Kluyveromyces lactis: one gene and its partners. The protein of the gene in region 7 purifies or fractionates together with the protein of the main gene of each other region. This does not show direct contact. Links are inferred from orthologs where the notes say so. Each region holds a gene or a part of one and is shown on either strand. Other genes may lie near its edges. The genes, in order: SYF2, CWC21, SMD1, SMB1, PRP46, SMX3 and CWC2.

Region 1 (2,718 bases), on a different chromosome or scaffold from region 7:
CTGAAATGGATAGTTTGATGGTTAAAGAGTTCAACGCCAAACTATCTAAACTTATTGAAACTGATTTCAAGAAAGGTCACGAATTGCGCGCTAAGGTTCAAGATGCAAGATTGAACTTTGATACTTTACGTCATGAAATTAAATTGAAGCTGCAGGAAAAAGAGGTTGTAGCATCCTCTGAGGAAGCTGAAAAAAAGGTCGCAACTGAAACCCCTGAAACCCCCGAAAAGAAAACCAATGAGGAACCAGTTGATATGGCAAAGACAGAAGAAGATCCTGATTCTAAGCTTTTCGAACGATTAGAAGATCAGTTCGTGTCTGCAACCTCAGAAACTGTGGAATTCTTGGGAGAACTTACAGATAGTTCTGAGATCATTTCTTTGGTTAAGTTGTTCCATAATTTCCAATTGATCCATTACAAGCAATGTGTCAAGAGCTTAGAAGAAGATCTAGAAGTCCTTAACTCACTAGATTCTGAAGACAAATGAAGAAATCCACCTCTATATATCGTTAAAATAAAATAATTATTCATAATCAATCGTAAATATCTCATATGTAAATGCCCAATATACCTATTTTCCCATGCCTATTTGAACTCGCTATTCAATTTTGCATTAAACCGTTTATTCTTGTCATTAATAAATCCATCATCCAAATTGATCTTATTTTGTTTATCTAGTTTTTGTTTCCGTACCATATACCTTTTCTTTGATCGTTCGTTCAAATCATTCACCATTTTTTCTACTAGTTCAGGATTATCTTCTACTTGAACCTTCCCATCCTCAGTTATTCCACCTTTCAACGGATGTGATATATCCTTCGGAAGCGCATCTACTTCCTTCTTGTAGCTGTTCTTTGCTATAGTTTGGAAGTCCCCCATCACGCTTTTATTATGTCTTGAATTCTGTGTCTTAGCTTCCCATTTTTCATATTCGCGTATTGAGTAGTTTGCCAATTTTATCGGATCTTCTGGTTCGCTTTTGTTACTTCTAGCTTTATCTTCGCCATCGTCAGCCATACTGTATACTCTTCTTTCAGAGTTTTTCTTCTCTTCAGCTATTATGGCCTTCTTATTCCTTATACTTACTTCCACTTTTTGTTTCCGCAAACTCTTCAACTTTTTTTCAATTTCCATTAGATCATTCATCTTCGAATATTTATTATCAGCCTGTGTCCAGTTTACAATGTGATTTGTGGCATTCAAATAAGGGCTACACTTTCTGTCACCTGGAAGATATCTGAGTATATTCATCGCATCTCATCTTGTTTCTGTTTGCATTTCGACACTATATATTACCCGGACTGACTCCCAAAAGTAAAGTTTGAAAAATTTGAAGTACTCAGAAGAAGAGATGAGATGCGATGAGATGCGATGAGCTGTAAGTGCAAAGATACACTCAACCGCTGCTCTTGAAAGGACGAGGTGAAGTATCAAATATCCTGTGTTCAATACAGTTTGCTTTGATATTATTTATCGAAAGATATTGAGAAAATGGCATCCATCTCACAGCCTTTTAGGCTCTCTGCTCTACCTAAGATTCCATCATTGAATAATTATGCGAATCAAACAGACTACTTACAAGTTGTTGATAATCTTTCACCATCAGCCAATAAAGTGAATATTGGTATATCAGGTTCCAGTATATCACAATACTTGATTAATCCAACCCCGAAGCTGGTTTTTAACTTGCCAATCCCCTCTACGAACATTGTTACTGCATGTGACGTGGTAGAAGATGCAGCCAATACAGAAGTCTGGTGTTACGGATTGGAAGCTAGAAAGGTATCACATTTACACTTGGCTACTAAGCCGATGATTCAAGATGCCGTGTCATCTTCAAATGCTGAAATCACATCTCAGTTCAAATATAAACTAAAATCTGAAGTCGTTAGCATTAAGATCTATTCTAAAGCAGAGAAAGTTCTCGTTATCTTAAGGAATGGACTGATTCAAACATTTGATTATGAATTGAAACTTTCAAATACTATTGATATATCTTATGATGATATCAGATTTGTTCAATTCTTCCAAGATGGGCAGGGAAACGATTTCTTTTTCGTGTTATGCCAACTAAGTGATGAGAAAATCTGTTACAAACTTTTCCAAGTTAGGAGTGAGTCCGTCTCATGTATTGAACTAAATTCTATCATACTAGAAAATTACACTTTAGAGAATGCAAAGTTGTGTTTTGAGTTCGGGAAATTATATGTTTTAAAGAACTCAAATGAATTATCAATCTATCAGTTACCACATTTGCAACTACAAACTAGCATTCAGCTACCTTTCATTTCCAAGGATGCAGTTGTATCCATCAAACCAGTTTCTTCAAACCGTGTATTGTTGACTGCTGATAATACCATATATCTTGTGGATTTGTTATACAATGCTATACTATTCCAAAAGGATTTACAGAACATCAAAGCTATTCAACTACTCTCTACTGCAGTTGTTCAAGAAAACTCTGAAGACAATAGAAAAACTATAGCATTAGATGTTACAACTAAAAACGGTGCTAACCCTACGAGTTACTTGGATGTTATTAACATTGATGTTGGTACCGGTACCTTAAAAGATGCGATGGGTAAAGGGTTCATGGTTAAACAAAAGCAGAAACTACAGAAACTCTTTGAAGAAAGCAATGAGGACGACGATGTGGAATTGCCATCTCCAGACTATGAACGCATTATAAAACAACTCCATATCTGTAAAAAAATAGA
Region 2 (2,314 bases), on a different chromosome or scaffold from region 7:
CCCTCAGAAAAGACGTGCAGGATTTTGGTCATTTTGTTTACCGGCATTTCTAGCGGCAGGAACCCCGGAGCTAGCTCATCACATGACTTGCGGTGTGTGAATGGTTACCCGGGTTTATCCGTGCATTACCCTCCTTCATCTTAACCCTCACAATTGAAAATCACAATTCAAACACCGTCCATGTGATATGCAAAGGTGTATCATATAAGTGCGTTATGTAATGGTAAATAAAGGAATGACTATGACTAGCTCATACCAGCTTATCGGTTTGTTAAACAATATTTCACCTGGTTGGTTATCAAAACGCTGTTCCCGACTCCTTCAGTCAGTTATATCATAAATTTTGCCCGCATCACTCTCCAAAATGAGTAGAGTAATACATAGAAACGAGCTATACAAGAGACAACAGAGGATAGAAAGCTATGTATCGGGTTTACTAGATGAGTTTTCCCCCTTGGCTATCGACTTCCCACTTATTGACTTGACGAAAAATAAAAGACACGATAACATAGACGTACTACCTTCTTCCACAACGACAGATAATAATTCGGATGAATTTCTAATATCACCAAATTTTTACCAGTTTAAGAACAGAGAATGGTCAGATGTTACTCTTCGGCTGGCGTAGCACCGGATTGTGTAAATTTCAGTTGGAACAGTATTGGGATATCTTATTTCTATTCGAATCCAAGTTTTACCAGTTTAAACCGCAAGATTATAAACTTTGGACGACGTATCTTGTGAAAAATGTCAGTAAACTCTTGAAACAATTGGTGCGTGGGAGATCAATGGATTCGAAGGTTTATGATATTGGTTCTAACTATTTTACTATCTTGGACCCAACTTTCCAGCTGTTCGGTAAAATCCTTCTATCATCCGATCTGGGGAAAATTGCATCGATTTATCTACACCATGTCTCCACATCTGCGTACTCACAGGACCTTCGGCAACTCATACTCAAAATATGGGAATTCTTAGACCACGATAATTTTCAATGCGATCTAATGGTATTCTACATTGCCAATACAATCGAAAACCATGATTTGATTACGAATTTATTACGGAACCTAGCATGGCTAAACGGATCCTTGATGAAACCTATTGGTACGCGCACACTGGATTCTACGTTTAGTTCCATCAGTTGGTCAGATGATAAGTATGTCATACTTCAGTTTCAAGTTTGAAAGTGGATGTCTTCACTCTACTGTCCCTCTGTCTAGTAACGATATGTATGCGTGTATTTAAGTATTCCAGAGTTAAACACCCATACATCACATTATTAATAATAGCTATATCAGTTTTAACGAATTGATGAAATGGAATGAGTTAAGCTACACGCTGCAGTATCACTGTCACTTCAAACCATTACACTCTTGGCTGCTGAAGGGAATATACCAACCCAGCTGCTCGTGTCTCTATATAATAATGTCATATAACGGCATCGGTTTATCTAGTGCCAAGGGAAGCAGCACCTCCGGTTACGTTCAACAATCGTTAGCATTTACGAACAGGAAAAAGGACCCTAGATTAACTACACATGATAAAGAACAACAGCAACAGCAACAGCAGCAACAAATACAACCTGCTAAAGATGAAAGCGTAATATCCCACAAAGCGAAAAGGCAGATCGAATTATTAGTTTCTGAGTATCGTGATAAACTAGAGGATGGACCGGATGATTTGTCTGATGACACCATAGACAGTAAATGTGAAGACTATCGCAGGTCTATACTAGAAGGAAACGAGCAGTCAAGAAGTCAGAATTGATTAATAATTTCGCTTGGTGTATCATAGCTATATTACATTTTAGTACTAGTACACGATTGTTAAACATGAACTATAAAACTTAGAACTAATAAAATAATATACAAAACTGCAACTTTCTGGCTCAAAGGTAAAAGTGTAATTTAACAAGATAGTCAACGTTCTGCCCCAATATAATCTTGTCGGGGCTTTTATTGATGCATAATAAAAGAAGTAAGATAATATGTTTCTCCCCTGATGAAGTGAATGTCCGTACAATTATCTTAACACTGAAAGAGAAAGGAAGGTTTAAATGGAAGAAAAGTAAAACGGTGTTTTAAAAGATGCCATGAACTGAGAAATAATTTGAATTTTTAGAGTCTTTTCATTGTTTTAACAGGCAATCGATTTATATGATATGCCCTTCGTATAATTTTAGATTTTATTTTGTCGTGTAAATTTTCATTCATTCATTCATTTCTACACCAGATAGTCAAATTTTTGAATTGTTCCAAACCTTTGTCTAAATCGTCAATATTGACCAATTTCTTCCCGTCTTCGAGGTTATGAC
Region 3 (2,526 bases), on a different chromosome or scaffold from region 7:
TGATCAACCTGCGACCTCCGTGGGAACAACTAAAAGTATTACTAGAACCGCATGAACCCTTAAACAACAAGTATATTGCAGCACTGGTATTATGTTATATGAGAATCTCGTATTATTTCTTAACTGAGAGTAATCCTTCCGAGCAAGATATATCGTTCAATTTATTACATGATTTAATGAAGAAATATATACTTGATCATAGAAAATTAAAAAGTTACTCGTTAGATATGGATTGTTGGTCATCATCGATTAAAAAAGAGATTAAATTGATACATTTCGATGAGTTGATAGACTGGTTATGCGACAGGAATGAAATTTGGGGCATCCCCTTAGGAAAATGCAATTGGTGTAAAATATGGGACGATGAAGAGGACGATGAGAGCTCAAGCGACTCGGACTCCAGCTCTGATCCAAGAGATGACAGTGATCAAATTTGATTCCATTCTTTCTTTTTTTGGAGGCATCGACTGGAAAGAACGGCTATTCATTATGAAAGATAATTATCAATAGTGTTTAATCATTCATCAAAACAAAGTCCATAACATCACTACATATTTATTTCCACATATGTTTTCTGATGTATATTAAAATGCCCTCTTTGGACGTTTAGGAGCATTCCCGTTACTCTCAAGTGATCTCTTCTTATTCGGATCACTTCCCACTTTACCTTGTTTCCTCAACCTGTTGACTTCCTGTTGGTCTACAAGCAACGCATCCAAATTGATACTATCTGGTAAAATAATCTGCCTTATCGTATTACCCCTAATGTTGATGAACTCGAGGCTAGTTGTTCTCTTAGATTCTTGTCCTTGTGTCGATCCACCTGACAATAAGACGGCAGCCAAGGTAGCTTCTGAGGTCTTAGTAGGGAGTGTCAGCCTGACGTCAGTAAGAGAGACGTTCATCTGCGGTGACACACTCCTCACTATTCCCCAAACAGTGGTACCATTCTTCAACTCTATAGACACCCTTTCATTCTTTAGTTTCTTTAAGAACCCTGTTAACTGCATTTTGTCTGTATATAAAACTTCGTTGTTTCAATCGGACTAAAGATACACCAGAAAGCTGTTACCAGTTTCAAATGGTTTTGATGAAAAAGAGTTTTGAATTTTGCAAAAGTAACAGATGATCCACAAGCAACTTCCTGATTTTGATAAAAGATCAGGATTTGATCGTAGTTACTCAATTGACATATTCTACATAATGATGGATGAAATGGTTCAAATTGATACTCAAGAATCAATGGGGTCGTTCTTTCCTGGAAAAGAGTGGAAATTTCATATTATCACGTGCCTTAACAGGGTAACTCATTTGCGTGAGATTCCAATGGTTTCTTACATTCGAGCGAGCATGTGTTCGAATCTTACATGGAACCCAAAAAGTATTTAGATCCGTTGCATCTCATGTTAAATGGTTAACAGATACACGGAGAAGTGCGATAAGAAACTATCCATGCAAGCGATAACAAAACGTTCTGTCAGTCATTGCTTTGATAAAATCTGGATATATATATATATATATATATATAGATGTTAAAGTCAGATATTACTCTTTTCATATCTCATGGATCGCAAGCTTTCAAGGTTACTGCTGCTCGCATCGAGAGATTGGGAGTATTAAAGATTAACGCCAAGAGTAAACATGTCGTCATCAGTAATCTTGAAGAGATATAATATTTTACTCAAACGTAACCCGTTATTAACTAAATGCATAACAGGCGCGGTATTAACTGGGTTAAGCGAACTGTTCAGTCAATGGGTTAGTCTGTCTCCAGAGGAAAGAAAAGAGAAGCTAAATTGGATCAAAGTGGCATTGATGAGTCTATATGGTGGTCTATTTAACGCACCAGTTAATCATTTCAGTTACAAATGGATAAACGAATACACAATTAGGAAAGTGGTATCCAAATATAGAAGCTTGGTCCAGTTAGGCTGCTCATTAGGCATGGTATCGCCTATTCAAGTGTTAGGGTTACTATTTACCTTGACTTCTGTTAACAACGGTAAGGTTGACAAAACAAAAATTATACACGCAATCAAGACAAGATATGCGGCAATGTTGTCTTCCAGCTTGGCAACATCAACGGTATTGATGTCAATTGCTCAAAGATACATTTCACCAGATAAATGGTCCGTATTTTTTAGTTTGGCATACGCAATTCTGGGTACGGCTCAGAATATTTATTTGAAGAAATTCAAGAAATAAGGGTCTTGATCCATTCTGATAAAATATTACTTTCATTCTTCAAGGAAAGAATCTCTCTCCGCAAATTCTCTTGAATCATTCGGTTTTTATCGTCCTCAGTTTGATCGTTTTCTGAAGACAAAGATATTGGACTCATCGGTAGTTTATTCCAATGTTCCAATTCGCTTTTCAAGCCTCTGTTCTCGTTTCTTAGCTTCTCGACTTCAGCATTGAGGCGTTCCAGACTTTGCTTTAAAGTCATGACTTCCTTATCCTTCAACCCAAGTTCATAGGTCAACTGTGCTAAATCTCCTTCTAATTCTGTAGTTCTAATATTCACCA
Region 4 (2,562 bases), on a different chromosome or scaffold from region 7:
TCTCGAAGTGGTTTTTCCGGGATGCTTGAACAATCAGTAGGACTATTTCTCCGGATTCCTATAAAAAAAACACACACTCATGATATCGTGGCATGCGATATATTTGTTGTTTTTGCGAAACTTGCAAACTCTAATTCTTGCCCGTTCTCAGCTGAGAGATATTCCGCACCATGATTGTCCAGTTGGAAGCCATATTTAACACATAACATTTCTTTTGTCCGCAGGGCTATGGTGGGGTCATGGGGTATATCTGGAGGTTTCGTATAGGCATTTGGTGGGGTGGTTGAAAAGGGAATGAGGTGGATAATCATATTTCGCACAGGCTTTTAACGTTGCGCAGTACAGGGATATCATTACACTGGATAAAGCTAGATAAATTCTATATCTTCTTGTTCTAGTCGTTACAGTGGGATATCCAAAGTCCTCTGCGTGTACGTAAGAGGTAACTAAAGACATATCTATCAACATGTCTCGGATAATTATAGCTAAGATCGGTGATCGTAGCACCAAAACAATTTTTTTTATATCAATAAGTATGACAAGTTGTTCGCTGGTTTAGTTTCTTTTTTTGAAGCCTGGAGGGGCTTGGAACCGGCTGGGGCGTACCTGACTATTAGAATTAAACCTACTGGGAGCTCCAGAATTCGTATTGATAGGTTTATGACTTGGCTTCGTAACTCTATTTGAACTTTCTGAGTTAGTTGAAGTTATATTAGATCCATTCGTTCCAACGTTCATCTTGTTAGAAGTCTTCCCTTGACGAGCCTTTTTCGCATTATCTAATTTTTTTGCATTCTTCTTCTGGACTTCGATTCGTTCCTTCTTAGAGAGTTGGGGAGGTGACTCAACCGAGGTACTCAACACATGCTCACCCCGTAAAATTATTAGTCCAAAAGTCCTTCTTTCGACTTGCACATTGCTTGACAAGTTTCCTCCACTTTTAAGTACTTCTATGATTTGTTTATGAGGCATGCGTTCCTCTACACAATCTCCCATTACAAGGTTCATATATGCATCAAAAGCCATAAGTTGGCCAATATAAACCCTTCCGTCATGGGTAGCGACTCGTATTCTATAATCTATCAAATCTGATAGCTTCGTTTCCTTCTTTTTAACTTCAACTTGCGACATCGTCCTTGTATCTTTTGTATGATATGCTTAGAGATATAACTATTCTTCTTGGTGAACAAAGAAAGTGAAAAAGACTGTAAACTCGATTGTAAGAGGTATCCTTATATCATGCACAAAAAAGCGGTCCGTAGCAGTGATTCTTTATAGGACCAACGCAAGTTACTCATTGATCGTGAAACTAGTTAATGTTTTAATTTTCGATACAACATGATAGTTAGAATTCATCCACTATGCGGCTATGAAAAAAAATGATCACGTGGAAAATTATGTTTCTTTGGGATTTGAGATAATATGAATTATATTTGGTTCGCAAGATGCGAAAAGGAAACAAATACTGGTAAGCATCTTTAGATCAAAAAAAGCATTGCGTGAGCCTAGGTCGTACTCCTCGAACATCAGCACACTAATCATATCAACAGATACAAAGTTTGCAAATATGGCTGAAGAAATTAAGGATAAGCAAGAATTTCAAATAGGTGCAGAAGAGCCTGACTCTTCCAACGTTGCTTCACAAGCTAAAAGAAGTGCTGAAAGTGAGCTTGCTTCTACCGCTGATGCCAACGATAAGAAATCTAAAAAGAAGAGAAGAAGAAGAAACTATGATGATTTGGATGAAAAAATTGCTCAAGAAGACAAGGCATCTGCTACTTCTGGTGCTAACAAGGAAGAAGATAGTGAAAGTGAAGTCGATGACGAAAAATTAGATCAAATGATGGTAAAAGAAGATGAAGAAGAAGACGACCTTTCAGAAATCGATAGTTCCAATATTATAACTACTGGTAGGAGAACTCGTGGTAAGATTATTGATTATAAAAAGACTGCCGAGAAATTGGAAAAAAATGGTGAGGTTGGCAAGGATGATGATGATGATGAAGACGATGAAGAAAATGACGAAGAGTTCAAGGATCCAGCTGCTCCTGCCCCTGCCCCTGCTAGTCCGACTGAACCCAAATAGAAATTTGAATTAAAAATTTACTCAAGCGCATATAAAAGTTTGTAGTTTCACTAAATCTCCATGTTTGACATTATGGTAGTGTTTCATTTAAAAGAACAATGGATACGACGCAATGAACTGAGAAGGTATTTTGCAGTTAAGAAGTTTCAGGATGTCCTTCCAAACAGCTAGTATTTGCATAATTATGGCAGTCAATGTTATATACATAAAACAAGTGTCTAACTTAATCGGGATAAATGTCCCAGTCGATGATAATTCTGCTTCCCTTTTTCTTTCCGGGGCTTATACTTTCTATATAAACACCCTATAAGGAATGACCATAATACACGTTTAGAATTCCTAACAGCAGTTGTTTGTACTCTTTTTGTGTTTTTCGTTTGGTGCCGGTGTCAAAGAGATCGTAGGTCCCTTTGGAGCGTTGGCATTGTTTCCTGAGGCGTCATTCAAGTCTAGTTGATTTTTGGAAATCATTTGGT
Region 5 (3,251 bases), on a different chromosome or scaffold from region 7:
TGCACGTAGAACTTAGGTGGATCTCTTCTGCTGTTAATGGATAGAATTTCAGCAAGACGATCTTGACCATCTTTTAGTACCCATGACTTGCATCCAACGAAAATCTCATCGATGCTGTCAACCTTCTGGGGAATCCCAGGTTCCTTTTCTTCGCCGTGACTCATGTATTAGCGAGCTCGCCCAAAATATTTGTTAAACAGTTGCCTTGCCTTACTAGTTCCTCTTACAGAGGTGCTCTGTTTTTGGATTTGGTTTATTGCGTAACTAATAAGTTCAAATATTTTGAAGATGCTAAATTTCAGTTAATTTATTCAGATTACCGTATTAAAGCAAACACCATGCTTGAACAAACATACAAGAAAACCTGACGTTCCCTGTCCTTGACTACGTGACTGTAATCATATGACAGTTAGAGCAAACCTCGCAATTAATGCAGACTGAAATATTCTAGATAGATGGAAAACGGGGACCTAATAGAGTTAAACTACAAACTTCTACATAAGTCGCTGCAAGTAGACACCAGCTAGATTAGAATCTTTGAGATATTAACGTGGGATTCCACGGCAAGCCAGGGAATGTATCTTCTGTAGCATCAGGGACTTGCTTCCATATTTTGATGCTTTTGTCTCCTTCCCCTGTGATGAGTCTTGTTCCTGTGACATCAAAGGTGCTGCATAAAATCGATCGCTCACTTTCAAGTGAGCCAGCAACTTCAGTTGTCATCATACTTTGGTATTTGTGTCCTGTTTTGTAATCGTAAAAGCACAAAGTACCGTCATCTCCACCAGCTAATAGTACATTATCGTGATTAATTGATACGGTATTCAAAATCCCAGTGTTCTGGGATTGAAAGTTGGTTAATAGCTGTCCTTCGGGCAATTTCCAGGATCTGACGTCGTTCGTAGATACACTGGCAAAGCTAAACTCTGCTGGGTGTAGCGTCAAGTCTCTGATGTTTCTACTATGGTGCGTTAAAACTTTGCTTGCCTTCCCTGCAATGATATCCCAAAGTCTAACTGTTGCATCCCCGGAACAACTGATTATTTGTGGGTCAACGGGAAGGCATTTGACTTTATTTATAGGGCTTTTATGACCGGGCAGAACCATTATCTCAGATCTTGATCGTATATCCCACAACCTTACTACAGCATCACGACCAGCAGTAGCTATTATATCAAGGCTCGGATGAACATCAACGGTATGCACGCCAGATAAATGACCGTGAAAATCCCTAATTGCAGTATTTCTTTCTAGATCCCAACATTTTACAAGTTTATCTTCGCTTGCTGAGAACATATAAGGATGTCTCTTTGAGATAGCAATATCTCGAACACTCATTACATGCCCGATTAGAGTAATTTTCAACTTTCCCGCAGCTAAATCCCAGATTTTAATGGTTGTATCGTTGCTACCAGTAGCAAACCATTCATTGTCAACGGGGTCCACGCATACACATCTTACCCATCCAGTATGACCATTTATTACCTTACTGAGTTTCCATGGTGCATGCCATTGCGGTTTATAACTTCGAGTCTTTTCATAACGTTCCATCAATGAAATCTGCTGATGTGGCTGTTGGAACACTCTTCGTACTAGTTGGTCGCCTGGTTTTGTGGTATGTTTGACTAATGCTTGAGAGCTTTCGTTTGCAACAGTTTTCGACACCTCAACTAATTCACTGTACCTTTCTAAAACAGTCTTTTCTTGATCCAGGCACTTCTGTAACGACTCAGGTAAATAATCAGCATGTTTAAATTCATTATTCCACCGAGTTTGAACGTAAACATCATCTGCTACCTTCGAAGGTTCAGAGCTACGGCTGGATGTATTCATTGGTACTTATTAGTTGTCTATCAGTTCGATTAAGTCGTGTAACTCTCTTTCATCTTTGTATATGTCACTTCGTTAACTTTTCATAATATCCATCATACAAAACGGTTCTTTTCGTTTCTTGAAAAATTTCGAGCTCATCTCATCTCATCTCATCACATTGAAGCAGAAGTCAGTTGTTCAAATCTGGAAGCTGCGCTTCTTAATTGCTTATAACAAGTACCAGGTATTAGTACTCTCGTGTTAAAGTATAGTATTGGTATAATGTCAGACCAATCTTTGAAAAGAGAGTCCGAAGCTGCTGCCCAGCAAGAAGATATTAAGAGGACAAAAGTTGGTGAAGGTATAAATGAAGGTATAAACAATAACAACATCACTGAAAAGGATGTTGGTATCACGCATTACTTATCAATGGATAATGTTGGTTTCAATGGTCAGATCAAACAAAGGTACACTGACTTTTTAGTCAATGAAATCACCAAGCAAGGCGAAGTTGTGCATTTGACTGACAAAGGTTTTAATATGCCAAAGAAGCCAAAGCCAACGAGAGAACAAATCGAGCAATCGCAAAAAGAAGAACTTGAGAAACGCCAAGGATTTAAGGTGGATGAAGGAATTAGAAATGAACTTGTTGAACTTTTGGGAGAAGAGGATGTTCAAAAAATTGAAGCTGTGTACCGCTCAAATAAAAAGATTGAAACATCGAAGGCATTCGATGATAAACTTGAAAGGACTAAAATACATCAACTGCTACGTAGAGCTTTCGACAACAAGTTAGAATCTGTAACGACGGATTCAAACCATTTCATTGTTGGAATGGCTTCTCGCCAAACACGTGTTAGCAAAGAAGAATTGATCGAACAAACTAAGGATGCAAACGGTGTCGAAAACTGGGGTTATGGTCCATCAAAATCGTTTATTCATTTTACTGTCTATAAGGAAAACAAAGATACTATGGATGTCGCTAATACTTTATCAAAATTCATGAGAATTCCAACAAGGTTGATCAGATTTTCTGGAACAAAGGATCGTAGGGCTGTCACTTGTCAAAGAATGTCTTTATCCAAAATTGGTTTGGACAGATTAAACGGACTAAACAAGGGCTTGAAGGGTGTCGTTCTAGGTGGCTACAAATTCGAAGATGAGCCATTGAACTTGGGAGATCTACAGGGAAACGAATTCACTATTGCTATCAGAGATGTTTCATTGAAGAATGAAGGCGATGATTTGGATGATATCCTAGCCAATGGCATGAAATCCTTGGAACAAAATGGGTTCATCAATTATTTCGGTATGCAAAGATTTGGTACGTTCAGTGTTTCAACGCATCAAATTGGGCAAGTCCTATTATCAGGTAACTGGAAACAAGCTGTTGATTTGATCATGGCTGAACAAGAAAATGTTTTGCCAATTTCCAAAGA
Region 6 (2,583 bases), on a different chromosome or scaffold from region 7:
CTGTTAAAAAACACTGGTACCGACGACACCTAATTCAGTTGAAATGCTCCAGGTTCACCTTAGCAATATACTCTGGCCTAAAGTGACTATTATAAATAAGGAATGCTGCCACTCCATTTCATATAGAAGATGTTATAGATAAAAACCTTAAGAATGAAGCGGTGGCTCAATGGTAGAGCTTTCGACTCCAGTTAAATCCTGGAAATTTCTATGGAAACAAAATTGCAATCGAAGGGTTGCAGGTTCAATTCCTGTCCGTTTCATTTTTGCATTTTTTTTGGAAATCACTACCCCAACTCAACTGGAAAACTAGTAAGCAATAAGAAATCCATGGTGGCTGGAACAGCTGTTACACCGTGAACGAGACCTTCTTGGAATGAAAAACATAAGGTATTAATCTCTAGAGATTTTTTTAGAATGAGCCTTTGAATTGTAAAACCTACATAAACTATACTATCATTAATTATACTAATACTAATATTCCCTTTATTAAGATAAGCAGTTCCCTAATTCTATTACAACTGAGGAAAGCTATACAGTGAATCCATAATTATTCCGATGTTTCCTTGTTTGCTTCAATAATATTCAGACTAGTGCTATATTAATTCGCTTCTTCTGCGAGTTCTCCATTTTCCTCTTTATCGTCAGATTTCTCTGTTGTTCCAGTCGGCGTAGGGGGTTGATCACTTTGCTTGTTCACATCCTCTCCTACGTATAGCACGTTATTACATCTGATGAAAATGTCCCCAACTTTCCCACTTGAGACATCATTTATGATCTCTTCCGCATCTGTTAGTTGTAGATTGAAATATGTATCTACCGATACAAGTCTTCCTTTATATTGTATTTTATTGAATTTGAGTGTCACCAGCACATCTTTGTCTATCAATTGATGTAAAAAGGGTTTAGGGTTAATTGGTTTGAATTCCTCTGGATCCTGCAACGTTTAAATTGGTTAGTAAGGTGACAAAATCTGTGGATTCATCGATCGCAGATGGACATAATCGTCCTAGCTGCGACCAAAAAAGTATGGAACAAGAAAACTTACCATTTCAATACGTTAATGCGCGGGTGTTCTGATATGTATCGATTACACGATATAATTCGAGAATCTGTTAAAGGTTTTATTACGTCTGTTGGTTGCTACGTAATGTTTTCGTTGTCTATCTTTTTGCAATACTGTATTTTCATGTTTTTCAATATGGCATGGAAATATTAGATGCCCTACCAAGGGAACAAATAAAACAAACCAAAGTAGTCCGGACAGTTTTCAAAAGTTTTTATGCCATGCACTGGGTAAGTCATACTTAGATATATATTAAATAATGACAATACGATATGTTTCTTCCAACAGAAGGAACAGGGTTCATTCAAATTTGAGTCAGTTTTAATGAAAGGTTTGGTTTACCTGAATCGTATTCAATTCTTAACATGGCCCACGTCAAATCCACAATCACTGACGAGATGGCTAACGCATAAACCAAAGAAATGGCATAGAAAAAGTTACTATTACCGGAGCCTAATCCAATCCATAGGTAGTAGAAGATTGGTGACAAAATGATGGCATGAATGAATAAAAGGGTTGATATGACTGGATATCTTAGATACCCAAAGATCGGTTTGAAAAATGGGATAAAACTTAAGAAAAACCCTCCGTCACCTAACGTTGGGTATGATTTGGTGAGCGTAATCCAACCTAGACATAGAACAAATGCGTAAAACGATTGCTGATTGAATCTAATAGTGAAAGGTGGGATAAATGAAACAACAAATATGTTGAACACAGATTTGAAAAATGGGATGAAAAATTCGAACATTTCAATAAAGAAATACCACCACAACCCTAGATTTGGCCTTATCTTACTGAAAGTAATCAATATCCAGTATGTTGAAGTCAAATAGTTCCAGTTATCGTTATTTAACTTGAAACTGATCAACTGCAAAACAATCGATACCAATGTACACTTGACAACAAGGCCGAAAGAATTTGATCCACAGATTCCTGCCAATGGGATCAACAGTAGATAAGCGTAAGGTGATAAATAACCAGCCAACGCAATGCATATGGCTGACAGTGAGAACTGTCTAGATAACGCAAATAGTAAAGAAGTAGAAATGGAAAGGTTCACAAATAGACATGTCGATTGTGAGACACATGATAAAAGTACCAAAGGGTTCACTGCATAAACCACACCTGGAATATAACTAGGAATTTGCAATTGGCGTTGATATATCTTAGCTATTTGCATCAATTGATACGCTATTAGAGTGTCCATGGCCGCAAACAAAACGGGCATTAGAAACTCCGCTTGTTGAACGAATGCCATTAAAGCTACCAGCAGAGGCACATGATGCACAACACCACCATCATAAATGGGCAAATTATGCAGTAAAAGATACGCACCTTCTTGCAGAGATCTATAGCTTGTAACCGGAGTAGAAAACTCAACGGTTCTGTCCAATTGCTGCTGCAAAGAAGGGAACAGGTACGAAACAGCCAATCTGGACGCAAAACAAGCCCATACAACCTGCCATTCGGACGAAACCATAATCACCTCAAGCGACACAACAAGTCAACACAGT
Region 7 (3,029 bases):
GTGTAGGTAGAACTGGACGTGCTGGTAAAACTGGTACTGCACTTACTTTTCTAACCGAGGAGGAAGATCATTCTGCCATGGCTAAATTGTTCGATTATGTCAAAAAGAACGACTTCACCGGAGAAAATTACATCTCAAAAGAAGCTATGTCGAAATACAATGTTGACAAATCTTCATACAAACCAATTATTATATGAAAGGACTAGACTTTTTTCCTTGAAATTTTAGAGTCATGCAATATGAATTAGAGTATTTAACGTAAATAGTTACAGTGTGCTAGCTAATAATGCATTTAGGATTCCAGGTCAATCCTGGAAATACCCAATGGTCTGACGATTCATGCGTTCTTGTTTGAGCCTGTGCCTTGTCTTCCATTTTTTCGGATGTCTGATTCAAAATTATCGTGTTTTTTGATGAAGGCCAAACCGTAGACTGACGAAGTTCAAGTAAGTGAACTCGACAAAACAACTTCGACATAATTTGAAAACCAGGCATTGATAGCTTTTATATTCATTTCAAATATTTGCAATGTCAGTAAAACAAATCTGAAATCCGCTAGATGTTGTTCATGACGGCAACCAGTAATCCAAAATATACCTAATCTGGAAAAGTCAATGTGTCACATGACTTCACGAAATCTAGTCTTCATCAGATGAATATTGGGTTACCAAAGGTAAAACCGACGATGGTTTTGAAACTGTTATATTTGCAGCAACGTTGGTATTGGTAATAGTCACTTTCCTTTGTTTCAACTTATCTAAAATAGTCTTATCTATGATTGCATTCTCCCTAATGCTGAATCTTTCACGACTGTTCGCCTGCGAATCTCTCACTTCGTTGATTTCTTCAACTTTACGTTTTTGATTTACAGTGCCTTCAGTACTAGCCACTAGTTGTTTTATAGCTTTCAAAGTCTCTTGGGTTTGTTCTTCCAATTCTCTCTTTCGTACAGCTGGATTAGGATCCTCGTTCGCCCATTTCACAAGCAACCCAGTTCCCTCCTTCCTTAGATCCCACTCTTTATCGGTTGGTATTAATAGAGTCTGATTGCCCATTGCTTCCTTAGTAAATTCGGAGTTACACTGTAATTTGAACTTGACAAAGGCACAATTCTTACTCTCCACGTATCGAACAGAATCCAATTCTCCAAGTTTCCCGAACTTGTATTTCACTCTATTCTCAATCTGATGTGGTTTCAAAGTTTTGTTGTTGAGTGCCCCTGTAATACCACCCACGTATAAGACACGGTTAGGTTTCTTGAAGGAACCTACCCCACCCATATCATCTCTATAATCAGCAAATTTCTCTCTTCCAAAACAATCTAACGCAGAGGAATGCAAAGCTAACCTCGCAAAATCATCTGGCTCTGGAATATGATGCAAGTACCGACAATTTTTGCCTAAACAGCACATTCCCTTAGCGAAATACAAACAGAAATGAATCCGACCCTCTTTATCACCTTTAGTGATACCAGAATCGTTCTCGGGATCAAGCGAGTACGGTGTGACGAACCTAGTGGACCCACTTTGCCCCTGTGACCATTTGTTGTACCATACGTTGAAAGCCAAACCCGTCTGAGGCGGTACTGATGAAGGTAGGTCAGACTCCTGTAACTGAACCCTTGCTGGTCGGTTCTTCCAATCCCCAGTCATAATATATTGATGACGATGACCTTAATATTTGGCAATTTGCCAAACCAAGTATTCTTTAATGACCTCGAACAAGCAAACAGTTTGAACCGTCCAATTTATGCAACAACAGATACCGTATTATAACGGTGAAAACTGTATCTTGTCGAGCACACATCTTCCATGTTCATCTCATCGCAGGCCAAAGTGTTTTCAATAAACTTCAAGGTTGGAACTTTTCTTTAGTGAAAACGATCATGATCAAAAACAAAATGGAAACGAAAAAAAGATAAGTCTCCCGGGGGCGAGTCGAACGCCCGATCTCCAGATTACAAATTGCTTTGTGTTTTCAAATTACAGTCTGGCGCCTTAAACCAACTTGGCTACCGAGAGAAGTTACTTGTGTGTTGTAATTTTCAATGATGCTATAACCAAACTTCAAGGTTTACTAAGACTACATTGCCTGACATTAAGAGGTATATGGAGTATTTAAACCTTTTAAAGTATTTAATTATACAAGTGAAGTGATCACAGGACAATAATGCCCTGCACCTGGAACAGCTAATTTCTCCTACAGAGTTTAATCATTGTACATATTGTTCGCCATTTAAAACTCCAAGTTTTGTATGAAATTAAAGGGACTCATCCAGAATAATGTTAGGCGATGGACATTTCTACAACTGCTATGTACCACCTCCGAAACAAGACGCTGGCACGATATTCTGAAAAGTTGTTTATGTGTCGCATGGATTAATTTATGTCGTCCCTACTGTAATTGATACTTTATTTCTTTTTCATGTTACTCGGTACTGGAAAATTTTCATTTTTTGTTAACAAAAAGAAGAGCGATGAGTATGAGAATTGAACTGTTGAATGAATCGATGAACCTATCTTGCTGATGTGATATTGATTCCTTTCTCAATCAATTGCTCGCTCTATTTGAACCAGGGGAACAGTGAAGAACTATACATAATAACAAAGATGGCCAAGGATAAGAGTGTATCAACAGAAGACAACTACGAAGCTAGACTTCCTGCCGTTCTACCATTTGCAAAACCTCTAGCATCAAAGAAACTGAACAAAAAGGTGTTAAAGACCGTCAAGAAGGCTTCCAAGGCTAAGAATGTCAAAAGAGGTGTCAAAGAGGTTGTCAAGGCTTTGAGAAAGGGTGATAAAGGGTTAGTAGTCATTGCTGGTGATATTTTCCCACAAGATGTTATTTCTCACTTGCCAGTTTTGTGTGAAGACCAATCTGTTCCATATATCTTTGTGCCCTCGAAGCAAGATCTAGGTTCTGCTGGTGCCACCAAGAGACCTACTTCTGTTGTATTCATCGTTCCAGGCTCTAACAAGAAGAAAGATGCTAAGGCTAAGGAAGAAGAATACCGTGCTGCATTCGAT

What was found.
Region 1: the proteins of CWC2 (region 7) and SYF2 purify together in Saccharomyces cerevisiae (affinity purification with mass spectrometry, with the first as the bait; 3 studies listed by BioGRID). This does not show direct contact. The link is inferred for Kluyveromyces lactis from reciprocal best matches to the Saccharomyces cerevisiae genes CWC2 and SYF2.
Region 2: the proteins of CWC2 (region 7) and CWC21 purify together in Saccharomyces cerevisiae (affinity purification with mass spectrometry; 3 studies listed by BioGRID). This does not show direct contact. The link is inferred for Kluyveromyces lactis from reciprocal best matches to the Saccharomyces cerevisiae genes CWC2 and CWC21.
Region 3: the proteins of CWC2 (region 7) and SMD1 purify together in Saccharomyces cerevisiae (affinity purification with mass spectrometry, with the first as the bait; 3 studies listed by BioGRID). This does not show direct contact. The link is inferred for Kluyveromyces lactis from reciprocal best matches to the Saccharomyces cerevisiae genes CWC2 and SMD1.
Region 4: the proteins of CWC2 (region 7) and SMB1 purify together in Saccharomyces cerevisiae (affinity purification with mass spectrometry; 4 studies listed by BioGRID). This does not show direct contact. The link is inferred for Kluyveromyces lactis from reciprocal best matches to the Saccharomyces cerevisiae genes CWC2 and SMB1.
Region 5: the proteins of CWC2 (region 7) and PRP46 purify together in Saccharomyces cerevisiae (affinity purification with mass spectrometry; 5 studies listed by BioGRID). This does not show direct contact. The link is inferred for Kluyveromyces lactis from reciprocal best matches to the Saccharomyces cerevisiae genes CWC2 and PRP46.
Region 6: the proteins of CWC2 (region 7) and SMX3 purify together in Saccharomyces cerevisiae (affinity purification with mass spectrometry; 3 studies listed by BioGRID). This does not show direct contact. The link is inferred for Kluyveromyces lactis from reciprocal best matches to the Saccharomyces cerevisiae genes CWC2 and SMX3.

The regions. Positions count from the first base shown.
Region 1 is NC_006041.1:412,691-415,408, forward strand, and holds SYF2 (Syf2p), read right to left. Parts: upstream 1,253-2,718; coding exon 587-1,252; downstream 1-586. Other genes in the region: KLLA0_E04621g (uncharacterized protein), read left to right, coding at 1-488; UTP8 (Utp8p), read left to right, coding at 1,493-2,718.
Region 2 is NC_006038.1:878,864-881,177, forward strand, and holds CWC21 (U2-type spliceosomal complex subunit CWC21), read left to right. Parts: upstream 1-1,311; coding exon 1,312-1,767; downstream 1,768-2,314. Other genes in the region: OAZ1 (Oaz1p), read left to right, coding at 606-1,184; KLLA0_B10076g (uncharacterized protein), read right to left, coding at 2,214-2,314. UniProt on the Saccharomyces cerevisiae protein: Involved in pre-mRNA splicing. May function at or prior to the first catalytic step of splicing at the catalytic center of the spliceosome, together with ISY1. May do so by stabilizing the catalytic center or the position of the RNA substrate.
Region 3 is NC_006040.1:320,200-322,725, reverse strand, and holds SMD1 (mRNA splicing protein SMD1), read right to left. Parts: upstream 1,011-2,526; coding exon 585-1,010; downstream 1-584. Other genes in the region: U4/U6-U5 snRNP complex subunit PRP38, read left to right, coding at 1-437; KLLA0_D03751g (uncharacterized protein), read left to right, coding at 1,642-2,205; KLLA0_D03740g (uncharacterized protein), read right to left, coding at 2,195-2,526. UniProt on the Saccharomyces cerevisiae protein: lays a role in pre-mRNA splicing as a core component of the spliceosomal U1, U2, U4 and U5 small nuclear ribonucleoproteins (snRNPs), the building blocks of the spliceosome. Also binds telomerase RNA and is required for its accumulation.
Region 4 is NC_006038.1:47,968-50,529, forward strand, and holds SMB1 (mRNA splicing protein SMB1), read right to left. Parts: upstream 1,132-2,562; coding exon 556-1,131; downstream 1-555. Other genes in the region: CHZ1 (Chz1p), read left to right, coding at 1,568-2,086; Rab family GTPase YPT31, read right to left, coding at 2,426-2,562. UniProt on the Saccharomyces cerevisiae protein: Plays a role in pre-mRNA splicing as a core component of the spliceosomal U1, U2, U4 and U5 small nuclear ribonucleoproteins (snRNPs), the building blocks of the spliceosome.
Region 5 is NC_006042.1:1,034,180-1,037,430, forward strand, and holds PRP46 (mRNA splicing protein PRP46), read right to left. Parts: upstream 1,834-3,251; coding exon 529-1,833; downstream 1-528. Other genes in the region: NuA4 histone acetyltransferase complex catalytic subunit ESA1, read right to left, coding at 1-164; pseudouridine synthase PUS7, read left to right, coding at 2,095-3,251. UniProt on the Saccharomyces cerevisiae protein: Involved in pre-mRNA splicing. May also be required for cell cycle progression at G2/M.
Region 6 is NC_006041.1:436,187-438,769, reverse strand, and holds SMX3 (mRNA splicing protein SMX3), read right to left. Parts: upstream 1,052-2,583; coding exon 1,049-1,051; intron 938-1,048; coding exon 602-937; downstream 1-601. Other genes in the region: GPI-anchor transamidase subunit GAB1, read right to left, coding at 1,371-2,549. UniProt on the Saccharomyces cerevisiae protein: Plays a role in pre-mRNA splicing as a core component of the spliceosomal U1, U2, U4 and U5 small nuclear ribonucleoproteins (snRNPs), the building blocks of the spliceosome.
Region 7 is NC_006039.1:1,336,607-1,339,635, reverse strand, and holds CWC2 (active spliceosome conformation promoter CWC2), read right to left. Parts: upstream 1,653-3,029; coding exon 639-1,652; downstream 1-638. Other genes in the region: mRNA splicing protein PRP28, read left to right, coding at 1-197; snoRNA-binding protein NHP2, read left to right, coding at 2,610-3,029. UniProt on the Saccharomyces cerevisiae protein: Involved in the first step of pre-mRNA splicing. Required for cell growth and cell cycle control. Plays a role in the levels of the U1, U4, U5 and U6 snRNAs and the maintenance of the U4/U6 snRNA complex.